Linked DNA regions of Macaca fascicularis. The protein of the gene in region 4 interacts with the protein of the main gene of each other region in a pairwise test. Links are inferred from orthologs where the notes say so. Each region holds a gene or a part of one and is shown on either strand. Other genes may lie near its edges. The genes, in order: TRAF3IP3, CCDC88A, KALRN, NDEL1, CEP63, DIXDC1 and MRC2.

The links.
Region 1: the proteins of NDEL1 (region 4) and TRAF3IP3 interact in binary tests that used the Homo sapiens proteins (3 or more experiments, as listed by UniProt). The two-hybrid records come from large-scale screens. The link is inferred for Macaca fascicularis from reciprocal best matches to the Homo sapiens genes NDEL1 and TRAF3IP3.
Region 2: the proteins of NDEL1 (region 4) and CCDC88A interact in a two-hybrid assay, tested with the Homo sapiens proteins (2 studies listed by BioGRID and IntAct). The link is inferred for Macaca fascicularis from reciprocal best matches to the Homo sapiens genes NDEL1 and CCDC88A.
Region 3: the proteins of NDEL1 (region 4) and KALRN interact in a two-hybrid assay, tested with the Homo sapiens proteins (2 studies listed by BioGRID and IntAct). The link is inferred for Macaca fascicularis from reciprocal best matches to the Homo sapiens genes NDEL1 and KALRN.
Region 5: the proteins of NDEL1 (region 4) and CEP63 interact in a two-hybrid assay, tested with the Homo sapiens proteins (2 studies listed by BioGRID and IntAct). The link is inferred for Macaca fascicularis from reciprocal best matches to the Homo sapiens genes NDEL1 and CEP63.
Region 6: the proteins of NDEL1 (region 4) and DIXDC1 interact in binary tests that used the Homo sapiens proteins (3 or more experiments, as listed by UniProt). The link is inferred for Macaca fascicularis from reciprocal best matches to the Homo sapiens genes NDEL1 and DIXDC1.
Region 7: the proteins of NDEL1 (region 4) and MRC2 interact in a two-hybrid assay, tested with the Homo sapiens proteins (2 studies listed by BioGRID and IntAct). The link is inferred for Macaca fascicularis from reciprocal best matches to the Homo sapiens genes NDEL1 and MRC2.

The regions. Positions count from the first base shown.
Region 1 is NC_088375.1:67,597,420-67,600,919, reverse strand, and holds part of TRAF3IP3 (TRAF3-interacting JNK-activating modulator), read right to left. Parts: intron 3,140-3,500; coding exon 3,068-3,139; intron 2,944-3,067; exon of another isoform or gene 2,780-2,943; intron 746-2,779; coding exon 605-745; intron 497-604; coding exon 359-496; intron 1-358. UniProt on the Homo sapiens protein: Adapter protein that plays essential roles in both innate and adaptive immunity. Plays a crucial role in the regulation of thymocyte development.
Region 2 is NC_088387.1:66,493,896-66,497,395, reverse strand, and holds part of CCDC88A (girdin), read right to left. Parts: intron 1,904-3,500; coding exon 1,742-1,903; intron 732-1,741; coding exon 454-731; intron 244-453; coding exon 100-243; intron 1-99. UniProt on the Homo sapiens protein: Bifunctional modulator of guanine nucleotide-binding proteins (G proteins). Acts as a non-receptor guanine nucleotide exchange factor which binds to and activates guanine nucleotide-binding protein G(i) alpha subunits.
Region 3 is NC_088376.1:159,202,860-159,206,930, forward strand, and holds the start of KALRN (kalirin), read right to left. Parts: upstream 2,801-4,071; 5' UTR 2,424-2,800; coding exon 2,351-2,423; intron 1-2,350. UniProt on the Homo sapiens protein: Promotes the exchange of GDP by GTP. Activates specific Rho GTPase family members, thereby inducing various signaling mechanisms that regulate neuronal shape, growth, and plasticity, through their effects on the actin cytoskeleton.
Region 4 is NC_088390.1:8,477,260-8,481,242, reverse strand, and holds the start of NDEL1 (nuclear distribution protein nudE-like 1), read right to left. Parts: upstream 2,801-3,983; 5' UTR 2,625-2,800; intron 1-2,624. UniProt on the Homo sapiens protein: Required for organization of the cellular microtubule array and microtubule anchoring at the centrosome. May regulate microtubule organization at least in part by targeting the microtubule severing protein KATNA1 to the centrosome.
Region 5 is NC_088376.1:37,457,688-37,461,187, forward strand, and holds part of CEP63 (centrosomal protein of 63 kDa), read left to right. Parts: intron 1-1,386; coding exon 1,387-1,501; intron 1,502-2,384; coding exon 2,385-2,582; intron 2,583-3,500. UniProt on the Homo sapiens protein: Required for normal spindle assembly.
Region 6 is NC_088388.1:110,863,675-110,867,642, forward strand, and holds the start of DIXDC1 (dixin), read left to right. Parts: upstream 1-1,168; 5' UTR 1,169-1,478; coding exon 1,479-1,538; intron 1,539-3,968. UniProt on the Homo sapiens protein: Positive effector of the Wnt signaling pathway; activates WNT3A signaling via DVL2. Regulates JNK activation by AXIN1 and DVL2.
Region 7 is NC_088390.1:69,154,562-69,158,061, reverse strand, and holds part of MRC2 (C-type mannose receptor 2), read right to left. Parts: intron 3,163-3,500; coding exon 3,014-3,162; intron 2,284-3,013; coding exon 2,066-2,283; intron 1,373-2,065; coding exon 1,230-1,372; intron 87-1,229; coding exon 1-86. UniProt on the Homo sapiens protein: May play a role as endocytotic lectin receptor displaying calcium-dependent lectin activity. Internalizes glycosylated ligands from the extracellular space for release in an endosomal compartment via clathrin-mediated endocytosis.

The DNA.
Region 1 (3,500 bases), on a different chromosome or scaffold from region 4:
GCCAACAATGGGCAATTCTGAACTGGATGCTTTTTTGGGATGGAGTTTGGAGAGTGGGTTGGGATATGACATTAGTAGGCTGATATATATTCCAGCCAGTTCTTTTCATTTGGATGGTGATGGTGTCATTCCAATGAACGCTTAGTTCATTTGCATGAGCAGTGCAGACATCCTTGCTAAACTCGAAATTAAATTTCAGAGCCAAAACAGTGAATTTGGTACAAAGTAGGTGGTGACTGAGGAACTGAAAGCCAGATGCTGTCAGCTGCCTTTGGAGTCCCTAATCCAGAACAGCTTCTTCATCACCACCCCTCCTCCCCATACCCTGTCTTCCCTCCCCACCCCCAGTGCCTGGTACCTGCAGTTTGGACTGAAGCACGTTGAGTTGGCTCTCCAGCTCTCTGTGCTGGGACCCAAGGGTCCTCCAGTCCTCCTTCAGAGCCTCGTACTGGCTCCTCCACTCTTCACACTTCTGCTCTGCCAGGGCCAGGGATCGCTGAGGGAGGTCAGAGAGGAGAGGTTCCAGGGAGCTGTGCAGCTGGCTCCCTTGTTCCCCAAGCTGCCTGGAGTCCCCAACCCCAAGGTCTGTGTGGCATCCCCATACCTGTGTGCTCTGTAGTTGCTGCTCTGCGTTCATTTTCTCCTCCAGCACTTTCTGCAGTGACTCCTTGGCCTTCTGCTCATAGCTGTTTTTCTGGTCTTCCATCTCCAGTAGTACTTTTTTCATTCCCCAAGGGGAGTATTTCTGTAAATTTGATGCAATTCAACAAATACACATTGAACTTCTGTGTGCCAAATCCTGAACTGGGATACAGAAATGAAAAGAAGTTGGTTCTTCCCCCAGGCAGAGATACCAGTAATCTAGTGAGCCTTTTCTTTTAGGGTAGAGCTAGCAGGGAGAGTCCCTCAGGCAATGAGAGATGAGTGGGGGGGCATAATAAACAGTGCCCTAGGCTTGCTGGGCATTATATCTGAGGCCTTCCACAAGCTCTTGAAATCCAACATGTCTAAACAGGACTCATGTTTCTAAACATGTTCTTTTTTCTTGGGGTTCCTATCTCAGTGACCAGAATCATCATCCATCTAGTCTTTTCCAAACCCTAAACCAGGGAGTCAATCTTCATTTTCTCTCTCATTTCCTTCCAGTAATCAGTTGGTCATTGAACCTTGACAGTTTCCTTCATAGTTCATATCTGTCTCCTCTCTATCCCTACTGCTGCTTCCTTAGTTCAGGCTCTAGTAGTAGTGTTATGTGGATTAATGCAACAGCTTCCCTTTCTTCAAATCTTGCCTCCCTTCAGTCCCTTTTCAGTCCCGCATTTAGAAGGTTCTTTCTAAAATGCAAATCTGATCTTGCCACTTCCTGCATAAATTCTCCATGGATTCTCAGCATCCTAAGAATCACATCCAAACTCCTTGTCATGGCTCCACTTACATGCCTAGACTTTCATCCCATGCTACTTCCACCTAAGCTGAGATGTTTGCAGATCCCCTAGCACTCTGTTTTTTTGGCTTCTGCCTTTACCCATATAGCTTCTTCTGCCTAGAACTGGTTAACTTCTACTCATACTCAAGATTCAGTCCAGTATCATCAGTTCTGATAAATTGACCAACTGCCCCCATCCCACAATGTCTTATAGATTAGGCAGCTTTTCTTAGTGTTCATAGTGTTCACATAGTGTACCCTGCATGCCTCTATTATTCTACTCTGTTGACTCATCTGTTTTTCCTACTGGATTGTAAACTCCTTCAGGGAGGGAGCATACTGCTGCTGCTTTAAAAAAAAATCACTGTAGCTTCTCTACAATGCCTAATGAACTTAATGGTTTAAAATTAATACATTCGCGTTATAAAATTCCTCCTGGCTGCAGGATTAAGGAGACACAAGTGCAGCTTTGCAAATTCACTGGGGGTCTTGCCTTCTCCCTTTCTTTCATCTTTGTGTCCTGTGATTTCGGAGAAGGCAGGCAGATTTTACTGTCAATTCTGGATTACCCACTGTGTAAGCAGTAGACCAGATGACAAAAATTTAGGGATCAATATGAAATCATTTCCATTTAGCTTTGGAATTGTCTGAAATTTTGGATTTAAATTTGAGTGGGTCTTATAGTTTTGGAACTTTCATTAAAAACTAGATTCAGGAATTAACCTGGTTGAGGTCATATGTAGGGGATGTCCCAGTTATTGGACATCCAATGACCATCCATGCTGGGCACTGGTTATGTGTTATTCCTTATTGAAAATGAATAGATTGGCATTCTGGATTATATATTGGTCTCTTGTGAACTTGGTTGGCATTATTTAGTCCTGTCAAAGCAAGTCATACTGAATAAATGAAAGTTGTGGACCAAGAAACTTATAGACTCCATAAACTCTCTTCCCCTGTGAGACGCCATCTATGTGGCCAACTGTCTTCTCTCTCTAACTCCAGATGGGAGAAGTCTGCCTGTTCCGCCCCATTCTCTTATTTGACATCTTCCCACCTGTCAGGTATCCATCACTTCTCAAATGTGAAAGCTGATTTCTTTCTATCTCTTGTAAACCAAGATTAGGCCAATCAGGAGATTACTAATGCTGGAAAATGGTGTTACAGAAGAGCCAAGTAAAAGAGCTTTTACATTCTTCTAGGGGTTGCTAGAAAAAACAAAAAAAGTTGCCCATGGAATGAAAATCATTTTCTAAGACTTCGTTATAACATCTAACTCATCTGTTCAAAGATTAGGATGTGTAAAGATCTGTCTGGGTGTTGTGAATCTTTACCAAGGGCCTTTCCCTACAGTTTCAGGTATTCTCAAGGTTCCCCTGGAGCTGACAAAGTGGTTAGTGCTGGGATTCCTCCAGGGTGCAAAGAGAAGGATACTGGGAGAAAGGGAGAGGAAGAAGGATGGAGACAGTGATCTAGTGAATTAGAGACTAAAGTGAAAATGGCCAAGCCAGAACTGGGTAAGTAGGAATGGGTGTGTTATTCTCTATCTGGTGGCATTTCTCAAAAGTAAGATTGAGGTTCAAGCATTCTTCACATTTAATTCTAGATTCCCGAGATGGAAATATCCTTCAGAATGCTTACCTGGGTACAGGTGTACAGCTGGTTTTCTAAGGATCTCAGTTTCCCCTTCAGTTTGTCTTCATTAAGTTGTCCCTGGAGCAAATGGGATGAGTTAATGAGTGTGGGCCAAAATCTAGTCTGCAAAGAGTTTGACTCTATATTCCTATCCTACTGCCCAGCACATGGTTGATGCTCAAACAGTGAACTCTTTCAGGAGGCAGGCAGGAGCAAATATGACAAAGGATGCTGAATAGAAGAGGATCTTCTCTTCTTTCTCTAGACTAGGACAAGAAAGAATCAGACTGGCCTCAAGTCCTCCTTTTACCTCCATTTTTATCAAATGGCTCAGGGTAGCATAGCAGGGGAGCCCTGGAAGGAAAGCTTCTAAGCTACCCTTTCGCTCACTACCTCTCTCCCCTCTCTAGGCACTTCTGCACTCCTCACCTCTTCTCAG
Region 2 (3,500 bases), on a different chromosome or scaffold from region 4:
GAAATAATACATAATAAAAAATATATATATACACACACACATATATATGTATATACTTTCTACATAAAATGTTTGTTATATATAATATGTATTTATTACCTATCATTTTCACCACAAAGTTTCTTGTATTCTGCAGCTACCGTTTCATGGTTTTTATTTTCAAGCAGCATTTTTTCCTGTTCTACTTTGAGCATTTTTTCCAAATCTTCCAATTGTCCTTTCTGTTTTAATAACTGATTGTAACTGGGGGAAAAAAGGCATTTGGTTTATAATATTAACAAAAAAGAAACTTTAGAAATGAAGGAAATGAGTAATTATCATTTAAAACACAGGTAAATGTATATACATTTCCTACGTAAACTAACATTAGATGTGTTTAACATATAAAATTTATTATACTACTTGAAGAAAATTCATTTTAAATTCACAGTACAACAAAATATAACAAATTACCGGTCTTCAAGGTCTCTATGTTCCACCTCAAGATTTTTGTGGGCAGACTTCAGAGTTCCATGTTTAGAGATAAGAGATTCATACTCTGAAGCCTGACGTTCATGAAGAAGTTCCAGCTTTTCATGATCTTTGATCAGAGAATCATAGAGAGATTTTAGGTCTTCTCGCTCTTTGATTACCGATTCATTTTCATTTTCTAAGGAAGACTGCTGGATTAGGAGTTGTGCATTCTGGTTCATAAGTGAGGTACTTTGGGAATTAAGGGTAGAATTTTCAACCTATGAGAATATGTGTTGTTATCAGACATAAGAAAAATAGTTCACGTTCTTTTTTCAAAATACAAGATTACAATGTTAAATAAAGCAAGCTCTAAATGAATCACAGCAGATATATTTACATTATACTGGGAAGATTTTGATTTTAGTTTCCCAAAGAATAACGCTACCATTTAATTTTGATTTTTGGAAGTATTATAATACACACATACATACATATATGTGTGTGTGTATATTAGACATATATATATTTTATGTTTTGGGTTGAATTTATTTTAAATGAAGGTGATTAGCAACCATTTTATTATATTACAAATGAAAATGTATAGAATTTGAAGTGCTAGTTTATCATTTCTAGAATTTGGTGATAGAAGTTGATAGAAGTGAAAAATTACTTGTGGAAATTTTTCAAGAGTCCAAATTAAGTAAATATTTTCTTTATCAAACAAAGTGTTGATGCTGATCAAAGAAAAGGGTTACAGAAAGAAGAATTCTTAGATTCAGAGAGGGAACTTGTTTCTGTTCTTTAAGAGGTTTCAGAGTTGAACTTTCCCCCACCTGATTGTTCTGTCTGGAAAGACACTGGCGGTGTTAAGTATGGATCCTTTGAACTTAGGACAGGTCTAAAGACAAAATTCTCATGTTGTCCTGTTTTCCAGTAACTAAACTGATAAAAAAAGCTATACAAATGAAATAAGGAATAGTATGCTGCAACCATACTCTCAAACAAGGATTTCTACCTAATTTATTACAATCAACTTAATGAAATGGTAGAAAGACCACAAATATAATTTATCTCTATTTAGATGTATTGACTGAATTTATTAATATTTAAAGCCTTTGACATTTAAAAAATTGATGTGTGAAAGTTTAGGCATGGCACTAAATAAAAACATTTTCATTTATCTTTAAGTTCATTCGCTAAGAAACAATGTTTCCATGTTTACCCTCCCTTATTTTAATAGCATAATTTAAGAGTTTGGTTGCATATTCCCAAAATATTATATTACAACCTGAAGCTTGGCATTCTGTGTTTGAAGAGTGGTATTCTGTTCCTGTAATGATACTGTCTGCCTCTGAAGTGCAAGAATCTGAGCCTGCAAATTATTGTTTTGTGTCTCAAGCTGCTTCAGTTGAGTTTTCAACGCTTGCTTCTCTGCTTGCAGTGTAGCATTCTTAAAAAACAAAAACCGAAACCAAACATATTAATAACAATAGCAATACTAAACATATTTCTATAATATACTGAATTTTATACTATGAGTATTTATTAGCAGTACAATCCATAAAACCCCAACAATCTTAAAAGAGAAAAAAAAAAAAACATTTTCCCCATCCCAAATTGTAAACAGACATTCATCAGAAAGAAGGCAATAATACTAAAACCTTAATATTGTGCCTGTGTCTTGTCTGCACTATAATATCCTAAAAATAAAATATCCTATTCTAAATATATTTATTAACACAAAAACTAGAAAGGAATTGTCAGTTGTATGGTTTTAATACTGCTTGAAGGTTCCCAGAATGACCAGAATAAATGGGGCTGTGTCCAACCATGGAGATCTATCTTTTCTAATTTACCCAAAGGCAAATATATACCTAAGTGAGTGGTGGTCCCAGAGATAGTGCAAAACTAAGTAATTTCCAAACACAAATATTTCAAAGGGAAGCAGGTTTACAGGAACAATCTTAACCATCTGTTTGAAATTTGCAGTCCACAACAGACCTAACGCAGATATTTTCTTATTTTTCTCACGATATAAAATGCTAATTAAAACTCTACTTCAACTATAAGACTCCTGGAGCATTTCCAAACAAAACATAACATTTTCCGTTTTTCCGTAAGGCCATATTTCAATGTTATAACAAATGAACTACTATGCGAATCAATGATTATTATATTTTAAAATACTTGTCATTAATCTTTTCAGGATTATTTCTAAATTAAATTTCATAAAAAATCAGCAACAGCAAAGTACAAAGAACCCTCCAGAAAACAGAAATAAAACTTTAATATACTAAAGGTCATAACTGGTCTACCCTGCAGTATGCATAAAAAGTTAACAACTGAATCACAACAGATCACTCTTAACATATCTATATGTAAATATAACATTCACTTTATTGGCTTTATGTTATATACACTGCATGTCACTGTGTAAAAGGCAGGTCAGGATTTGACCCACATATTATACTATAAAATTGAAGCTGAGGAAACAAAATGCTTTAAGATGCGTTATGATTTTGTATTTCTCTTTTGTTCATTTGTTCAAATAAAAAGGATGAAAAAATGTATACTAGAAAAAATAAAATGGAATACTGACAGTACTGACGTATTTATATACCATCTCAGCACAAAGAGGTGAACCATTTTTCACATATATATGTGAAATACTATTGTAGTTTAGCACTTTAGAAACTAAATTGTACAAGCTCTACCGATTATTCCAGGTGTCTCTAGGAATAAAAAAAATTCCTATAGTCTATAATGAAGAGAAGAGATAGCTGAGAGGGTATCTTAGAGCAGGAAAAAATTTACAATGGAAAAGAAAGAAGTTAGCAAATATAATACTGGCAAACACAAAAATTACCAGCCTATTATATGGCTGACCGTCTTTATAACCCCATTATCTAAAATATGAAACGAAGTAATTTTTTTCCAATGGAAATTTATAAAGGAAGTCTACAAGAAAAAAAAAAGATTCACCTTACAGAACTTCATATGCCAGCTCAATTTTCTAAAATGTAATTATGAATCCAAGCAATATAGGT
Region 3 (4,071 bases), on a different chromosome or scaffold from region 4:
GTACTATGCTTATTACTGAGGTAATGAAATAATCTGTATACCAAACCCCTGTGACACATAGTTTACCTATATAACCTGCACTTCTACCCCTGAACCTAAAATAAAAATTAACAACAAAAAAAGACGAATCCCCAGCAAGAGCCTAGGCTAGAGACCAGAAGTGTGGTGAGAGTCAGTGAGCCAAGCATAGAGGGCCACACATGGTGGGTGTAGTCCTTGACCCACCCCCTCTTGCAACATGTTACAGGTCATCAGTCATTTCCAGCCTTATGCACCAAGGACTTAACCTTTCTCTGATACTAAGTGCACATCAGACTTAGCTCAGCCACTGGGCTGCCCAAGGAGGAGGGAGAATATCCCCAACATAGGAGTCCCACAGGAGACTGACCCGAGTCTGCTATTTATTTTGTGATTTGAGCCAGGGTTGGATAATGTGTGCCATACGTTGTGTTTTGAAAGGCCCTGGGAAAAGTTACACATTGGACTATTATTGGCCATTAACACCATTAACACTGTGTGAATTTATTGTCAGAAATAAGCCTCCAGGAACTGAGCTCTGCTACAGGTGCCTGGAACAGAAAATGAACAGGACCTAGTGTTTGGATGATACAAAGGGGAAAGAGGAGTGGACACCAAAAGGTAAAAGTGGGGTCCTGAAAGGGAAGGTGGAAAGGCTCACACTTCAAGATTTTTCCCCTAGAGCTAAGAAAATGCAGACTTTTGCCCCAGTTGGGAGGCAAGAGGGATCAGCTGGGTTTTTGATTGACTGGTCAATTTGTTTCTAGCCCCAGTTATGAGTTCCCATATCTCCCTTCCTCGTCCTCATAATGAGTATTTCTGGATATCACTTAGCCCCCAGAACCTTGTCCCTATATTCCACCTCTTTAGAATTCATGCTTTTGGGTGCTGGGCTGTTTGTGTATGAGAGAGAAGAAAGAAGAGAGAGAAAATATAATCCATGTCTCAGGAAGAGGAAGAAGGGAAGGAAGGAGGAAGAGAAGGAAGGTAGGCTTAGACCTAGGAAGCAGAATAGAATGACAGGGGCTCCCTCTGATTTCCCCAGACCCTGGCAGCAGCTCCTGTCATCCAGCTTTTTCCTCTGCACATCAACTAGAGAATGAACATATGAGCCAATCAAGTCTTGACTTCCAAAGCCACAAGTCTCCCCCACAAAGCACCCCACCCCCTTCCCTAGAGATGACCTCCAGGGCAAGGTAACAGGGTTAGGAAACAGATGGATGTGCAGAGACCCTCCAGAGCTAACCTGACCCCTGACCCCCACCAGTTCATGTCCTCTAATCCAACTTTCCAAAAGGGAGAGCAGATGCATGGGACCCCGGTAACTTACTGGACTCTTTGGGACAAAGATTCCAGACAAAATGGTTTCAGACATGTGGGGACATGGGGAGCTACACACAGAAGCTAGTGGAAGCCACAGGTACAGGGAGATGGGGAATCCCTGGCCATCAGAGAAACAGGGTCACAGGTGGTGGAAAACGAGGATGGTCAGTGCCGGTTCCCGGGAGGGACTGTGTAGCCAGGGAGCAGGAGGAGCAATGGACCCGGGACATGGACGGTGGCAGGGGCGCAAAGATCTAGAAAGACATCTCAGGGCTCTACACCTCACAGCAAGCAGAGACTTAGTGGGTGTGTATGAGAGGGACGCTAACTCACACTTCCAGGAATGAGTAATTCTTATGAATAGCTCCTCCGTTCCCAGAACTGAAGAGGAGGACAAGGGGGAGGTCCGAGGCGCCCACCGCCCTCCCAGCCGGGTCTGCCTCTCAAGTGAGAGGGGCCGGCTCCCCACACGCACCAGGCGAGACCCATGTCGTCCGCCCCGCTCCTGTCAGTCTGCAGCCGGCGCGGCTCCGGGTCCCCGCCGCCCCTCTGTGCACATCAGGGCCCCGGGCCCCCGACGGCGAGGAGGGGTGCCGGCCCAGGGCTGCCGCCGGGAGCCCCGCTGACAGGCACGGGGGAGGGGGAGCCAAGGGAGGGGCCGGGACGCCGGTAGCCGGAGCGGCGCGCTGCAAAGTGAGCCAACACCGCCCATCCCCGCGCTCCGGGAGAAGGCGGCCCGAGGGGACCGCCTCCCGCCTCCCCAACACGGACTCCCGCAACTGGGATGAAGGCGGAGGGGCGCGGAGTTCCCAGCCCCCACGCCCTCCCCAAACGCAGCCAGCACTGCCATAACAACCAGAATCTCGGCAACTCCCGCCCCGACGCCGAGGGGGCACTGGCCCCCAACACGCACGCGGCAGCAACAGCCCTCCTTCCCCAAACTTGTCCAAGACGCCGCGTCCGAGGCAGCAGCCTTCAGCCCCGGCCCCCCGCGCCCTGCCCAGCTTACCTGTCCGGAAAAAGGCGTCCACGTCCGAGTCGGCTGCTCCTCCTTCCTCCGCTGCTCCCTCAGGGGGGTTCATGACTGTGGGAGGGCGTCTGAGGGCAGCCGGGGGCCAGAGAAGCCTGGGGCCGAGGGCTGCTAGGCGCCCGATGGGCGGAGGGCGCGGGGCGCAGCGGCCGCGGCCGCAGAGCTGGCGGCCAGGGGGGCTTCGAGGGCGGGCGCTGGGCGGTGGGGCAGGGGCAGAGAACGCCGAGCCTCCCTCAAGCGGAGGCGCGCGGCGGGCTAGGGGTGCCTGCCGCCAGCTCCCCCATGGTACCCCTTCCCCAGGGCGCTGGCCGCCTGCTGTCTGGCTAGGGCCGGGAACCGAGGCCGGGGCGCGGGCTGCCTGGGTGCCCGCTGTCCCCCAGCAGCGGCAGCTGGCTCTCCTGCTCGCCTGTCTGCCTGTCTCTATTGTTCAGCCCTGCTCCGCTCTCTCCTCTTTATTTTTCCTCCTCCCTCCCACCCTCCCTGTCTCTCTACCTCCTCCCTCCCTCGCTCACTCGCTCACTCGCTACCTCCCTCCTTCGCTCGCTCGCTCTCTGGCTCCCCCTCTGGCTCCCGCCGCAGCCGCCGCCTCCCCAGCTCCTCCCCCGGCTCCCGCTCCCTCAGTCGCCGCCAACAATGACCCCTGGAGCGCCGAGCTGAACTGAAGCTCCAGCCCGGGCCGAGGGCTCGCTGCGGGCCCCCGGCGGCGCCGACGCCCCCTGTCCCAGCTTCCCTGCGCCGGCCTCCCAGGGAGCGAAGCCTGAGTCCCGAGCTATTGTTCGAGGCTGTGCTAGGCCGGCTTCCTGAGCTCGGCAGGAAAAGCCCGGGCCGAGGAGGGGGCGGGGCCGCCGGGCGAGCCCGGGGCTGCAGGGCGCAAGCCAGCCTAGTCCAGGGGCTCTGCGGCCCGGGCGCTGCGCGCTCTGCTTCTCCGCTCCCGACGCCAGTGCTCCACCCGGCCCAGCGGCCACCTCCTCCGCCCACTCCACTCCCAGGTGTGTGAGGGGAACACCAGGCTGCCCGCCCGCCTTCTCCGGATCTTCAGATCGGTCCCCAAGCTGGACTGACCTGTCCCTAGAGGCCGGCCTTTCTTCCCCTCCTTCCTGACGAACTCTCTTCTGTCTCCCTGCCCTCCTGAGCCTCTCACATTTTCCTCACCAGCTCGCCACAATTTCTCTCCTTTTTGTCTTTTCTCGTCCTTTTCCCCTTTTCAGCGCCCCTTTAAACATCTCCGCCTGTCTCTGTGACTCTTTGTCCAGTTTAATGCTCCTGTGATGTTTCCCTGCCTATCTCTCCCTCCCTCCGTCACTCTCTTGTCCCTCGTTTGTCTCTGTCCTGCCTCCGTACTTGGCCCTATCTCCGTGCTCCTCTTGGACAGCTGTCAAAACTCTCTAATCCCTGGGGCCTTCTCGGTTTTGTTCTTCTCCCTCATGTGAATGGAGAGATCCAGTTGGCCAGGAGAAAGGAGGTGTTACAGCAAGCTGAATTTCAATTAAAGTGGGGAGAGGGGCTGGGGAGGAGTGGGGATGACTGCAAAAAAGAAAACAGATGCTGTATGGGGTAATTAATGTGGTGATTGTATTGTGCCCATCAGTTTTTAAGTAATAATTAAACAATAATTATCCAGTAGTGTGTTTGTGGTTCTAGTGACTGCAGAGCCCACCAAACAGAAGGTCTTTAAGACCTGAGTACTTAATAAAGTCTGC
Region 4 (3,983 bases):
ATCTACTTTCTTCAGTGTATTAGAGTTCAAATACAATAATACTAATACCTTGTTCTCCTTTAGATCTGGTTCTATAATCAGTTTTTTCTTGCTTTTTGTTTATTTGGTCTTGTCTCCTGGTATATCTGCTAATTTTTGTTAAATATTGGATGCTGGGTAGAATGAAAACTCGCATTCTCACTTACAGGTTGGAGTTAAAACAAAAATTGTAGAGGCTCTGAATGATGTTCTCCAGAAAATATGTAAATTTCTTCACCCCCCGGCCAGCCCATTAGAGTAGGGTCAAATCATTTAATCCAATCAGGAATTGAGATGTTACAGGCTTTGTGTGGGCTGGTCTATTTCTGGATTGCCCTGATTCCTCGGTCATGGTCTTGTAGGACTCTCTCTGAAACCCTAGGGCATTTACCAGATTCTTCTTATCAGACCCTGAACTCCAATTTTTAAATTCTCACAACCCTGAAAAGCCCAAAAGCGAGGCTCAGCTTAAGAATAGCTTTCTGATTTGCTTCTGCCCCTCACCCTCACAACAACACGTGCAGAGAATATGATTTGGCAAATTTTCTGAGAAAAGAAACTACATGGAAATTGGGGCTCGCCTCTCTCATGCCCTTTTCCCCAGGATCTTAGTTCCTTACATTCTGTTTGCCTTGGATTCTAATTTTTGAGCCCTGTGATACTGCCCAAGCTTTAGGTTACCCTTTTCTGCCCAGCCTCAATGTCTCCCAAGCAAACTGGCAAATTTCTTGAGAGTCAAAAGCAGTGAAGAATATCCCCTGACCTCAAAGTGGTTCCCTTCTCTCCAGGATTCTGGTTATTTAATTCCACACATGTTGAGTGCTTTCTGATGCCTTAAAACAGCCGTGTGTGTATGTGGTGTGTGTGCGTGTGTGTGTGTGTAAGAGAGAGAGATCTAATTTTTACATCGTCCTCTAAAAGAATCCTAATCTGATCCAAGCCAGTCTGTCACAACCAAATCAAAAAGCAATGGATGCATATTTTTTAAAATGAGAACTCTAGCCGGGTGCAGTGGCTCCCGCCTGTAATCCCAGCAGTTTGGGAGCCTGAGGCGGGCTGAGGTCAGGAGTTCAAGACCAGCTTGACCAACATGGAGAAACCCTGTCTCTACTAAAAATATGAAACTAGCCAGGCGTGGTGGCGCATGCTTGTAATACCAGCTACAGAATCGCTTGAACCCAGGAGGCAGAGGTTGCGGTTAGCTGAGATTGCGCCATTGCACTCCAGCCTGGGCAAGAAGAGCGAAACTCTATCTCAAAAAAAAAAAAAAAAAAAGAACTCTGACCATTCTGGAGAAGACCATGAGGGAAGAGAGTTGAAGCAGAAAAGGAAGTGAACGGGCTATTGCAGAATTCCAAACAAGCTGATGGTAATGCCTTAAGCTAGGATACTGACCCTGATGACAGAGAGGTGGATGACTTTCAGATTTTTTTCTTTTGGTAAAGATAATGTTATAATAATATCCAGGCAAAGTGGGTGGGGGTGACAACAAAAGACAATTTCAAATATCGCTGAAGGGAGTCCAAATTGGCACAACCTTCTAAAAGGCAAATTTACAATATTTATCACAAGGCTTTAAAACAATATTATCCTTTGAGCTGTCGATTCTATTGCTAGTAATTTATTTTAAGGAAATACCACCAATATATTTAGTAAAAACACTTATTGCAGACTTTTTTTTTTTTTTTGAGATGGAGTTTCACTCTTGTTGCCCAGGCTGGAGTGCAATGGCGCCGTCTCAGCGCACTGCAACCCCCACCTCCCGGGTTCAAGCGATTCTCCTGCCTCAGCCTCCCTAGTAGCTGGGATTACAGGTGGATGCCACGACGCCCAGATAATTTTTGTATTTTTAGTAGAGACAGGGTTTCACCATGATGGTCAAGGCTGGTTTCAAACTCCTGACCTCAGGGGATCCGCCCGGCCTTGGCCTCCCAAAGTGCTGAGATTACAGGCGAGAGCCACCGCACCCCGCCAACAATTTTTATAATAGGGAAAAATCGGAAACAACCTAAATATGAATCAACATGAGATTAGTTAAGCAAATTACTATATCTATTAAAAAAGAGGATCTAAAAGAATGTTTATTGGGATTAAAAGATAACAATTGAAAAAAAAAAGGTCCAAAAAGCATTCATACAATGTGACCCCATTTATCTTAAAAATAATTATATATAATATGTGTAAGTACAACTATACATTTTAACATAATTATATATTATATGGCCATATTATATATATACACACACACGCTGGAATAAACACCAAAATACTAATGGTAGTTTTCTGTAGAAGTGGTGTACAGCTTGTATTTTGTGTGTGTGCGTGCGTGTGTTTATGTGTGTGTTAACATTTTCCACATTTTTTTTCAACAGTAGTGCTATTTTTATCATCCGAAAATAAAATTGTTCTTACTCTGAACTCTGTCCCTGACCCTAGCCTTACCTGTCTCAAGAATTGAGGCCTCTCAGCTGTCAGGAAGGATTAAAGCCCTGGGATGAAGACTGCCAACTCAGAAAATCCTCCAAGGCGGCCAGCTCACATCAAGCACTCTTTCTCCAAATGCTGCCACCACCCCGGGAGTCGAGAGAGGTTTCCCTTCCACCTACCGTGTCCCTGAGAACAAATCTCCCCGCTGTCTTGGTGACTTCCCTCCCCTGCCTGTCCTGAAGCGTCTCTGCCCCGGGAGTGGGTCACTTGACGACAGCGAGAGGGAATCCATGCGCTAGATGCCAAGAGCGCAGCCCCGTGCTGCCCGGGCTGGCACAAGCTTGGGCCATGACTCAGCCCCTTCCTGCTCACCCGACGTCCCGCCCTGCTGTCTCCGCTTCCTCCCTGGCCCACACCCTCGGGTCACTATCCTTCCTTGCTAGTTTCATCCTGTTGAAAGAGTCCCAGCTACTTTTCTCTGGATTGTTTTATTTGATCCACTTCAGTGGTGTCCCATCCAAAGGACTCTCGGGTCAAGCATCTCACCCGGGCCTTGGGCTCAGCCACAGAAAGTCCTAGAGTCGCCTATTTCTAGCTCTGGGACCCCAAGTTTCTGTCCCCTGCGTGGGTGCCAGCCACTCGTGCCAGAGCGCCAGCCCTCACCCACTCGTGCCAGAGTGTACATGTGTGACACTTCAGATGGTACACAAGTGAACTTTTTATACTTAGAAGTTTATATTAATTTATTAAAGTTTGTACCATTTCAGGAATTGAGATTTCAAGTTTCATTATATTACATACATACTTTTTTTTTTTTTTTTTTTTTTTTGAGACGGACTCTCGCTCTGTCAGCAGGCTGGAATGCAATGGCTCAATCTCAGCTCACTGCAACCTCTGCCTCTCGAGTTCAAGAGATTCTCCTACCTCAGCCTCTCGAGTAGCTGGGACTACAGGCGCGTGCCACCACCATGCCCGGCTAATTTTTTGTATTTTAGTAAAGACGGGGTTTCACCATGTTGGCCAGGATGGTCTCGATTTCCTGACCTCGTGATCCGCCCGCCTCGGCCTCCCAGGGTGCTGGGATTACAGGCGTAAGCCACCACGCCCAGCCCCTAATTATATTTTTAAGGTACAGATACTTATATTTGAGGCTGTTAAAGATATGACTGCTTATGTTTAAGGGTTGTGTTTTGTTTTGTATTTTTTCCCAGGCTGGACTACAGTGGCGCAATCTCTGCAACCTCTTCCTCCCAGGTTCAAACAAAATTCTCGTGTCTCAGCCTCCTGAGTATCTGGGATTACAGACCCACTCCACCACACCTGGTTAATTTTTGTATTTTAGTAGAGATGGAGTTTCACCATGGTGCCCAGGCTAGTCTCGAACTCCTGAGCTCAAGCGAGCCACTCACCTTAGCCCCCCAAAGTGCCAGGATTATGAGTGTGAGCCACGGCACCAGGCCAGGCCATGTTTAAGATATTTTTAAGAAATTGATGTTTTTGCTGGGCGCAGTGGCTCATGCCTGTAATCCTAGCACTGT
Region 5 (3,500 bases), on a different chromosome or scaffold from region 4:
CGGCTCACTGCAACCTCTGCCTCCCGGTTCAAGCGATTCTTCCTCCCCAGCCTTCCAAGTAGCTGAGATTACAGGCGTGCGCCACCACGCCTGGCTAATTTTTGTATTTTTGTAGAGACAGGGTTTCACCATGTTGGCCAGGCTGGTCTTGAACTCCTGACCTCAGGTGATCTACCCGCCTCAGCGTCCCAAAGTGCTGAGATTACAGGTGTGAGCCACCACGCCCTGCCCTAAGTTCTTATTTCATTGAGAAGACAGCAGCAATTAAAGGAGAACTTCTTAATCTTTCTGTCATCAAAACTACCAGTCTTCCCACACCTGTGCCTTTCTGCACTTCTAAGACCAACTACTCCACTTGTGTCCTTTTTCTGTAGTTATATCCTTTCTTTTCTACATCATCAAGTTCTTTCTCTCCGCTGAATTATATCCACTGGTATAAAATATGCTATAACGTCACCCATCTGGGGGAAAAACCATCCCTTAATCCTATATCTCCGTCAAGTTACTTCCACATTTCTGTACTTCTCTTTAAGACCAAATTCTTCAAAAGAATTGTCTATACTGACTCTACTTCTTTACCTTTCACCTGTTTAGCAGCCCTTCACTTAGGTTGTCCTCCCTGCCACCTTGGAAGCAGGGTAGGAAGGGGTAACAGTTGACACACGGTGATCCTCCTTTTTGTTCTGCTGTGGTGGTGTTACTTCCTTGGGTGTTAATTGAATCCTGACTAATGCTATACCATACCTACCTAAACTCTTGTCATTGTCGTACTTATAATTTTTTTTTTGGTTTTTCATACCTCTCAACTTTTGGATTGGGAAGAGTGTGATATTTTGTTTTAAACACATGACTCATTATCATTTGTACACTGGCATTTTCTGTATGTAAAAGATAAAATTACTTTTAACATGAACTGTTAACCTTTAGGCAAACAACAAGAGAAATATCATTTTACACTTTTTAAGTTATCTTTAAGTAATACATTTTTTGTTTTTACATTTATTTCTGGTTTTGGAAACCAGTAAGTATTTTCTTTTATCTACATGTTAAATGCACAAACATACATACACACACATATTTTCTGCTTTATTCCTTTTGGAATACTTGGAGTACTTGAGATAATCTTTGTTATCATTGAAGTATATGTGTACTCTTCCATTTGACTAAAATTAAGTTTATTATTTTTGACATTGGGACAACAATTTACATTTTTATCACAGTTTTTTTATTGATTGGCTTTTTAGTAATATTTAAATGAGTGATGTGATGTTTAAGATATTGGCTGAATATTTTTTGGACATCAAGAATGTAAATTATATAGTCCAATTTATAGGTTTCGGGATTTTGGTTTTGTTTTAAATATGGGATCTTATTTTTGTCATACAGTTTGGAATCTGTGAGTGCAACATGTAAACAGCTGAGTCAAGAACTAATGGAAAAATACGAAGAATTAAAGAGGATGGAAGCACATAACAATGAATACAGAGCAGAGATTAAGAAGGTAAAAATATGCATACCTAGGATTGCAAAATTGTATGTGTTTATGGACTGAGCTGTGGGTTTGGAGATTATAGGGGTTATTTTTAATGAGAGAAAAATGTAGTTCAAGGGGCCACTTGATATTTAGGAGTGGAAGAGTACGTGGAATGTGCATAGGGAAAGTGCCTTCTTTCTCTGGCATCCCCCCGATGCCCAATAAATATTTTTAAGATAATTGAAGGCTGTTCCCTTTGAACTTAAAAACTTTATTTTAAACATGTTTTAATGAAAAGTTTTCTAAAAGACATACACTTAGTGTTTGCAAAAAAATATGAACTGTCATTTAATATTTTCTTATTGCCTAAACATAGTATTTATGGATTGTCTCCTGTGCTGTGATGTGGTTGGTATCCTTGTCAGCTATTGAGGTATGCAGAGCTGTTTGTGTCTATATGAGTGGGTCCTAACTGTCCTATTTGTTGTTTTGTATTTTTTGTTACTTCTTGAAGATTACTTCTCGCTTGTTTCTTCCTCTTGTTCTTTCTGTTTGTTATCCTGTGGACCAAGATACCATATGAGCAAAACTTTTAGATTCACAACTAAAAAAAAGAATGAAGGTCACAAGTACTGTCCTCTAAATAGTGTGCATGGACCTTGATTGTGGTCCTCAGCACTTGAATAACCCATCTCTCCCTGTTTTGAGGTATAATAAATGATTGTAGGTATAACCACCTGACCTTCAGTACAGATATGCAACTTGGTTAATTGCTAATTTTTCTGCAGATTTAATTCAGGAGAAATTTAATGTCTTGAGATAAGGTAAGCTTTTATTTTATTAGCTGGTAACATATTATTCTATCTAAATGCTTTCTCTTTTGGTGCTTTCTTTTCTGCTTTCTTTATAGTTGAAAGAACAGATTTTACAGGGTGAACAAAGTTACAGTTCTGCACTAGAAGGAATGAAGATGGAAATCTCCCATCTAACTCAGGAGTTACATCAGCGAGATATCTCTATTGCTTCCACCAAAGGTTCTTCCTCAGACATGGAAAAGCGACTCAAAGCAGAGATGCAAAAGGCAGAAGAAAAAGCAGTAGAGCATAAGGTGAAGCCTGAACAAAAACTTTTTTAAATTTGAAATTTGTTTTAAAGATGGAATTGATTAAAGACATAATTTTCATAATATTTAATTCAGTGAATTTTTATTAGATACCTGCTTTGAGCTGAGGGTATGCTGGTTAACAGAGAGTTTAGTGAGGGTGGTGCAGAGGTGAGAGTAGACACAGACAAGTAAAGTGACTATATCAGTGGTGTATGATGAGAGTCACTAGAGATCACAAGCAGCCTGAATCTAGACCACTCGCTGCAAAGGCCTTCCAGAAGGTGTGATAGCAAAGCTAAGTTAGGAGCGAGCTGGGTGAGGGGAAGGAAAAGTATTTCAGGCACAGGAAAATACAGAGGTCTCTAAGAGATAGTAGAACACGCTTGCTGTGGTTGAAACACGCTTGCTGTGGTTGAAACTAGAGTACACGTGGGATGAGTGGAAGGTATGAGACTGGAAAGCAGAGACTGGCTGCTGAAAGGCTCTGTTAGCCACATAAAGGAGTTATACTGTGACCTTGAGGTCAGTAGGCAGTGGCCACAAGCAGGAGTAAAATTCAGTGGTCTTTAAATGGAGAATAAGCAGGGAGACAGAGCACCCAGATGCTGTTACAGTGGTAAGATGGTGGCCTGAGCAGTGGGTAAGGGAGGGAGAGATAAATGGATGAATTCTGGAGATACTGGGCTGGTAAAAATGACTGGGCATTGTATTTGATTGGCAGGGAGGGTGAGGTAGGCAGAGTTAAGAAATGGTGTTCCACAGGATTTAAGCTTAGGCAACTGATGGAAAGTGATGCTCTTTAATTAAATAGAGAAAAGACAGGGATCTAGTTTGGCGAAGGATAATGAATTTGTGTGAAAAGTACACAGACTGGGGAAACTGGTGGAGAGGACTTTGGTTTAACACATTTGTTTGGAATAA
Region 6 (3,968 bases), on a different chromosome or scaffold from region 4:
AAGAGGTTGTTAGGTTGAATAAGAGCCAATACTGACTTTTCTTGCTAAGGTACTAATCAGGGTTTGAGGAGGAATCGGGGCCTCCCAGAAAATCATGAGTGTAGACTCCTAGATCCTTGAGCTGCCTGTCACTGATTGGCTGCGTCCTTGGACAAGGCCCTGACCTTCTCTGAGCCCTAATGCTCTGTAAACCCTTCCTCTCCATCTGGGATCACGAGGTGGAATGTAAAATGAATGTTTTTTCAGCTTCGAGTTTTCCTATAGAAACAAGAGTTTGCACTGAGTTGCAAATGACTAGTATTCCTAAAAATAAATAATCAAGGCTATGACTCGAATAGCTAGAAACAGCCTAGAATAGCTTTCTGTTTCACTTGAGGAAGCTTTTTACCTAACTCTTTCAAATGCACCAGGACATTTTTGCTGTCTTTATTTTAATTAAAACCCATTTATTTTAAAACACATTAAAATATGGGTTGTATATTTTAGCAGTTATTTTATAAAGAATGAAATAGGAAAATTTTGGAAAGCCTTGGTCATCCTTGATGTTTCTTTTGTGATCCTGTGTGATGTTTAGCACTGTTCTATTGAATGTGTTCTGATACCATCAATAACTAAAGTTCTTTCTATCCTCTTTTCCCCCTTTCTTCCTCTGCTCCTTCTTCTCTTTCTTATTTCTTTCCCTTCTGCTTCCTCTTCTTTAACTTGACCTCACTGTCCAGGGCCCATGTGGAAAAAGGTTGCTGTTTTCGGTTAGTCTGGGGGAAAATCCTATGATTCACTCCCTTTCCCACCCACCTTCTGGTGGGCCGTTTGTGGCCTTAAGTTAGCAGTGTGTGTGTGTGTGTTGCGCACCCTCCCCGCGGGCACACCCGCCTGCAAGCCTGGGGTGTGTGTGTGTACGCGCGCGCGCAAGCGACTGCAAGCGCGGCTGCAAGCGCTGGCATACACCAGTCGGGCCGCCTGTTTGTCAACGTGTGTGTGTGTGTGTGTGTGTGTATGCACGCAGCGCGCACATAGAGCAGAACGTTTGCCTAAAATCCGTGTGTGTGTGTGTGTGTGTGTGTGTGTGTGTGTGTGTAGCGCACGCACACACGCCCGTGCTGCGGCCCGGGGGGGTGTGTGTGCGCGTGCGTGCGGGCGTGCAGCGCGCGCCCCCGCCAGCCCGCCTGCCCGTGCGGCTTTCCCGCAGGAGAGCGGGACTTGGGGCAGCCCGGCAGCGCCGCTTCACCCAGTGCGCGCCCAGCTGTTTCCATAGGAACCGCGACCGCGCCGGGCCCCTCCAGCGGAGGCCCCCGTGCGAGCATGCCCAGTGCAAGCCGCTAGTTTGGCTCCAGTCTAGGTTTCCAGTAAGTGGCATGCGGGACTCCGGAGGGATCCCAATGAGCTGAGCCGAGAGCCTTTGTGTGCAGAGGGAGGAGGAGGAGGCTGCGGCGGCCGCCGGGCTGGAGACCCCGCCCGGGGAGCCCCCAGCAAGAACAATGCTAGCTTGCCTGACCCGAGGGAACTTACTGGACGTCCTGCAGGAGGGCTTCAATGAGGTAACTGTCCTGCTCCTCCCACTCCTCAGCTCCCCTCCCCCAGCGTCTCCCGCCCAGTCTCCGGAAGGGGTCCTCTTCCTCCCCCATCCTCTGGGGACCCCAGAGCAAATCGCCCGCAGAACCCCAAGGGGCTAAGGTGGTACTTGCAGGGCAGATGGGTGAACCAGGAGAAATCAGAAGGGCTGCCTGCCCACAGCTAAGTTGGGCCATGACCTTCCCTGATAGCTTGCTTACCTGAGCCCAAGAGGACAGGACCACAAATTCAGAAATCACCTTCTTCCAGAAGAGGGGGTCTCCATCCTCCCTAGAGTTTCTCTCCCCAAGGAAATCCTCAGGGAATCCCTGGATATTTGGCAAAAGTGCTCATCTATATCAGGAGCTAACCAGCGGAGCCAAGGGAGGGTGGAGTGGTACTGCATTTGTAGAAAGTTTGAGAGGGCAGGGGACTGTAGATGGTCCATGTGAAGTGCCCTCTTCATGTCTGAATCTCTTTCTGAGTCCGGGGCAGTAGATTTCTCTGCAATCAAGGACGTGGTTGTCAGAGAGGAGCTACTGAGCGAGAGGGGACCTGGGTCCTGGGCCCAATCCCAGGGAGCCAGCGTGTGCACCCGTCCATGTGAGAGCAGAGGAACTGGGGCCTCAGTCTGACAGGCAAGATGGGCTAGGGCCGACAAGGGGTCATTTCCTCTCCACTTGTTTCTCTTACAATTCTATTTATTGCATTTGCTTTTCTTGTGACCCAGGAAATTCTGGTTTGGGATGCTTCCCCCTCAAGATTGTCTTCCATATGTCTTCCACTGCAGCTAAGCCCTACTCCTGCGGGTTGTCTCAGCGCAGCATCCAGGGAAACCTACGCTGTTAGTTGTGCCTTTCTTCATTTCTCTCTCCCTCCTTTTCCTTCCATCTCTTTCTTCTCTCTGTGACTCTCTAAAATTTAAGATTTTAAAAATCAGTTTTTACTCAACATATGAATACATTGTCCTCTTAAATATGAACATCATAGGCAACACTGAAGTGTCTTTGGTTCCCCCCACCCATTCCAGCCTTTTCCACACAAATAACCATTCTCATGAATTCGTGTATAAGATTTTATTTCTGCGGCTGCACTACAGCCTCCTTCCTTAATTCCTGTTTCTAATTAAGAAGCTCTGCAGCCTGACCTGCCACAGAACACTCCCCCGTTCTGGTCCCCATCCCCTAGCCTTGTTCCTAACACAGAGGAAAACTGCAGAAATGCTGTTCCAACCTAACCGAGTTGGAATTTTCCTTTGGCCAAGGGGTATCACAACCTTCACTGAGGGGCGGAGCTTGCATCCTGTCTGCACTGTAGGGCACCTCATCTTTGCATCATTCCTGTCTGAACACATGTAAGGGGATTGTTAACAAAGAGCTGTAGTCTAAGAGTTGAAACACAGAAGAGCCAGGAAGCCTACCTCTGAGTGATTCCCATATTCTGGTTCCTCTTTTCTCACTCTCTGCCTTTGGGCTGCCCCTGGTCTTTAGCTGCGTAAGTCTGACTCATTCACCAATTGTGGCAGAAGCTCTTTTAGTTGTCTTATACCTCCTGCTCCAACTTAAAACAACAACAACAACAAAAAAACTCAGCTCTTGATGGTCCCACTGTCTATTTAGGAGCAGGAAACCAGCACAGAGCTGGTCCTAATCTTTGTTTTCTGCTCATTTTCACTTCGAAACCTTTCGACTAAAGAGCCACGTAAACTAAGAGGCTTGGCCGTCTGTTTCATGCTTTGGTGCTTCCATAAATATCCGCTGACCTCCAATTCTTGAAAAACATAAGGGCCTAAAGGAAAAGGGGAATGGGAGAATCATGTTTTTGTGGTGGTAATGGAATCTTCATAAAAAGCACAGATGCATAACTTTTTAATTAATTGGTCCCTAGAATAATGCAGTAGTGCCTCTTTTCCTTCTCTGATATTTGATTTTTCTACCCATCCTGTAAACTTCCCTCCACCCCCTCCACAAGCTAATGTACATCTGTTCCTCTCTGTTAGATTTGAACTCTGATAGCCAATGAGTACTTTTGGTTTCTCTGAAAAATTGACATCATCTAAATAACAATAACAGTAATATGTTAAATTTGAATGGTTTCTTACAGTTTAAATGATTCTTTCACATTCTATATTAAATAATTCATTTTACGTACAATATTACATTTAGTGCTACTGAATAATAGTGTAATTGGTTATTTTAGTATCCATGGGGCCCTATTTGACCTATTCCAGCCTCTAAGGTTGCTTAATAGATCCAGTAATATTCAATTTATTTTTTTAGAGTCCTTGAGATAAGGATGTAAACAGGGATTTTAAAGCTCGTGTCAGAATACGCTTTAATTCTTCTGAGAATTCCTACTGAGGCTACGAATACCACACATGTATCCAGTCACCTCCTGGGAACGATCCAAGTATATCT
Region 7 (3,500 bases), about 61 Mb from region 4:
AGCGCCAACTCTGACCCCCTCTGGGATCCCGACGGTTCAGGCCGATCCAGAACCAGTGCTGCTCGTGGATCTCGGGTTCTGATTCACTTCAGCACAACCCAGGAGTGGGGACGGAAGAGATGGGAAGTGAGAGGGGCAGGGACTCGAATGTGCCTCCTGTCCCTTGCAGCTGTGACCGGGGCAGCCCCCAGGGCCTGGGGCCTCTCCATCTGGGCTTCACATTGACCCCCATCGATACACCGTTGAGGCCACTTTGATAAAGTTCTCCCCACAGACAGAGCTGGAGAGAGTTGGACTAAGCTGTCCACTCAGAAGGCAGTGGCCCCTCCCCTTCGTTTGGGTTTCTTTTGGGCGAGGGTGCCCTGCCCAGCAAGATTCTGCAGGCTTTTACTTTACAGAGTTTAGGAAGTTCAGATGAGGAGGCAGCAGGGATCTACCGCTCTGGAGTTAAATAAACCTGGATTCAAGTATCGGTTCACCCATGAACTTGGGCAAATAACTTATCAACTCACAAGGGTCAGGGATTGACATCTATGGGTTGTCGGGAGGCCTGAGTGAGGATTATGTTTAGCACAGTGCCTGGTACGTGGTGAGAAGTGATGACCATGAGCTATTGTAATTATGAGTCAAATAATGTAATCTTGATGTTTGCTGAGAGGAGAGATCCCTTCAACTAAGCTATCAGGAAGCCTGGATCTGTCTGGATTTTCCCAGTGCTAGGGGATTCCAGGTGCTGATGCTCAGAGCCCAGGACACAGACGGTGTCTCAGAGGGATGCCCATGGGCACATCCTCACAGCTGCGGCCTTTCTCCTCCCATCTCTCAGGAAAAACTGTTGATTGAGGAGTGTGGGTCATTGTGGGATGGTGTAAGGTGAGGGGAAACAGTTGCCAGGACCAGCTGGTAGGAGATTTTGCAATGGGGTGGGAGGTACATATGTAAGGTTGTGAGTCTGTTGGGACGTTGCTGGGGGGGTGATGATGAGCAATACACAGTCTCCTATGAGTGTGTGGCTCACACAAGCATGTTCTCCCAAGACGCCAGGGCACCATGGCTACTTGAGTGGGGACAAGATGGTCCTGGCACCAGCAGCAGATATAGGCCTCCCTGGGGTCACCCACACTCTGCCATTCCCACCCCTCGCCCAATGAAACCACGGGTCTGTCGGCCACGCCTGCTCCTACATGTGAGCAGGTGCCCTCCTACCACGCCTCAGCCCAGCTCAGTACCCGAAGATCTTGTTGAGCATGTTGGCCACAAAGTGCTCCTCCTCATAGCTGGCCAGGCTCAGCAGCTGGGCCCCCAGCTCCTGGCAGGCCCCCTGGGCCTGGACCCAGCTCTTCTTGTCCTGCAGCCGCTCAGAGCTGAACACCTGCAGGGGCAGAGTCCAGCTGTCTACGCTGTCCCCACCGGCCCACCCTTCAGGGGGCACCTACTACCTTTCCCACCATGGCAGAGGAAGGGGCTGGAGCCTCACTGGACGGGGCTCAGGCTAGCTAAGGACAATCCTGCAGATGAGGTCCGGGGAGGGGAGCTGGCACAGTCACCTCCTCGTGAGTGCCCCTGAGCCCCATCCCCTGACCAGCAGGGAGATCCAGGCTCTAATCCCAGTAGAGCCACAGCTTAATGTGGGTAAGTCCCTTCTTCTCCCTAGACTTCAGTTTCTGTGCATAATAAAAGACCTTGGACTCTGCCAGTGGCTCCCAAACCTAGCAGGATTAGAAATACAGACTACCAGGCCCAATCCAGACCTAATGAATCTAAATCTCCATCGTGACACCTAGATTTTATTTTTATCAGGTTCCCCAAGCAATTCTTAAGAGCAGCTAGACTGGCCCCAACATTTGGGAACCTCTGAAATCAATGATCTGTGGTTCCCTCAATTCCTCAAATGGTTATTGAGCACCAGGCCTCCAGATTCCATGGACAAGTCCTCACCAGAAATCACCTGTCCGCAGGCTGGTGTGTCTCTGGATTGTGGCTGGACCCACTGGGACCTCCACCCAAACGGTCTCTTTGCTCCTGTCCTCCCCCTGCCCCCCACCCTGCCAACAGGCTGCCCTACCTTATAGCAATACCGGAGTTTGGGGTCCGAGGCCCAGCCCTGGGGACAGGAGCCAGTGAGGCTGGGTGTGGGATCTGGCCCAGGCAGCTCCGGCGTCACTGGAGTGCCCAGGCTCTGCCGGCAGATGTAGCGGGCCCGGAACGAGGTACAGTTCTTCACCTCCCACAGCCCCATGGCGCTGCCAGTGGCCAGGGCCACGCAGCCCCCACGGCTGTACCCTGAAGGAGAGGGAAGGGAGACCCAGGCTCTGAGAAGGATTCATAGTCCGGTCCTCCCTCACATCCCAGCAGGGCACCAGCACAGCCCTCACACTGGGAACCAGTTTGGCCACCTCTTCAGAGACATGCTCTCTGGGGTTGGGGCCGGGAGGGAGGAAGGGAATGGAGGCAGAGCCCTGGCTCTGGGTTCACTCACTGTGAGGGCTCAGGCAAGCTGCTTAACCTCGCCGAGCCTGCTTCATCATCTACCTCATCAGGTTATTGAACGTGTTAGAAAGATAATGAATGTGAAATGGTAATAATAGTAATAACAAGCACTTGTATTGCGCTCAGTATTCTAAACACTTTTTTTAATGAGCCCAGATAGAGAATTTTTTTCTTTTTCTTTTTTGTGAGCCCAGATAGAGAAGTAATCTAGACACTTTACACACATTATCTCTTTACACCTATTAGCACTTTACATATATTTAAGACTGATATCATCCCTATGAGAAAAGGATCATTATCCCCATTGGACAGATTGAGAAAACTGAGGCTCAGAGGATGCACAGCTAATAGACGGCAGAGTCAGGATCGGAGCCAGGCAGTTTGGTTTCAGAGCTCGTGCTCATAGCCACTACACCACACTGCACCAATGATCCATTTATGGGGCTGCCCTGGGGCTCGGCAGGACCAGTCCACCCCCACCTCCCTCCTCACTTCACCAAGGCACATTAAAGAAGGGGCTCACCGGGCTGGTCCCGGTTCCAGTGGGTGTACATGACTTCATCCCCGCTGAGCCAGCGGAAGGAGCCGGTGCTGTTGAGGTCCTGCAAGGCCGTCCAGAAGTACTCGCCCTCCCAGTTGTAGATGAGGCTGCTGACGAAGGCCTGCTCGAACCTTCGGGAAACGGGCTGGTCAGGGCAGGGATCTCCCCCTATCCCAATCCCCCACCCACAGGCCAGACACCCTGCCCCGGAAGCTCTGGTGCTGCACCTGACCAGTAACTTGCTCAAGAAAGCAGGGACCCTTGGGAGCCCTGCAGCTGACTGATGGAACCCCCCCAGCTGCCCCTTCTACTCTCTGCACCCCGTGCCTTGCTGAAAAGAAAGTCGAGAAAATCAGACACAGCCAAGGCCTATCTTTCTCAGGTATCCAGCCCACACCTGTGCCTGCCCGGGCCCTGCTCAGGCCCCGCCCTACACTGGGGTCACTTAACAAGTGAGAGTCATTCTTCT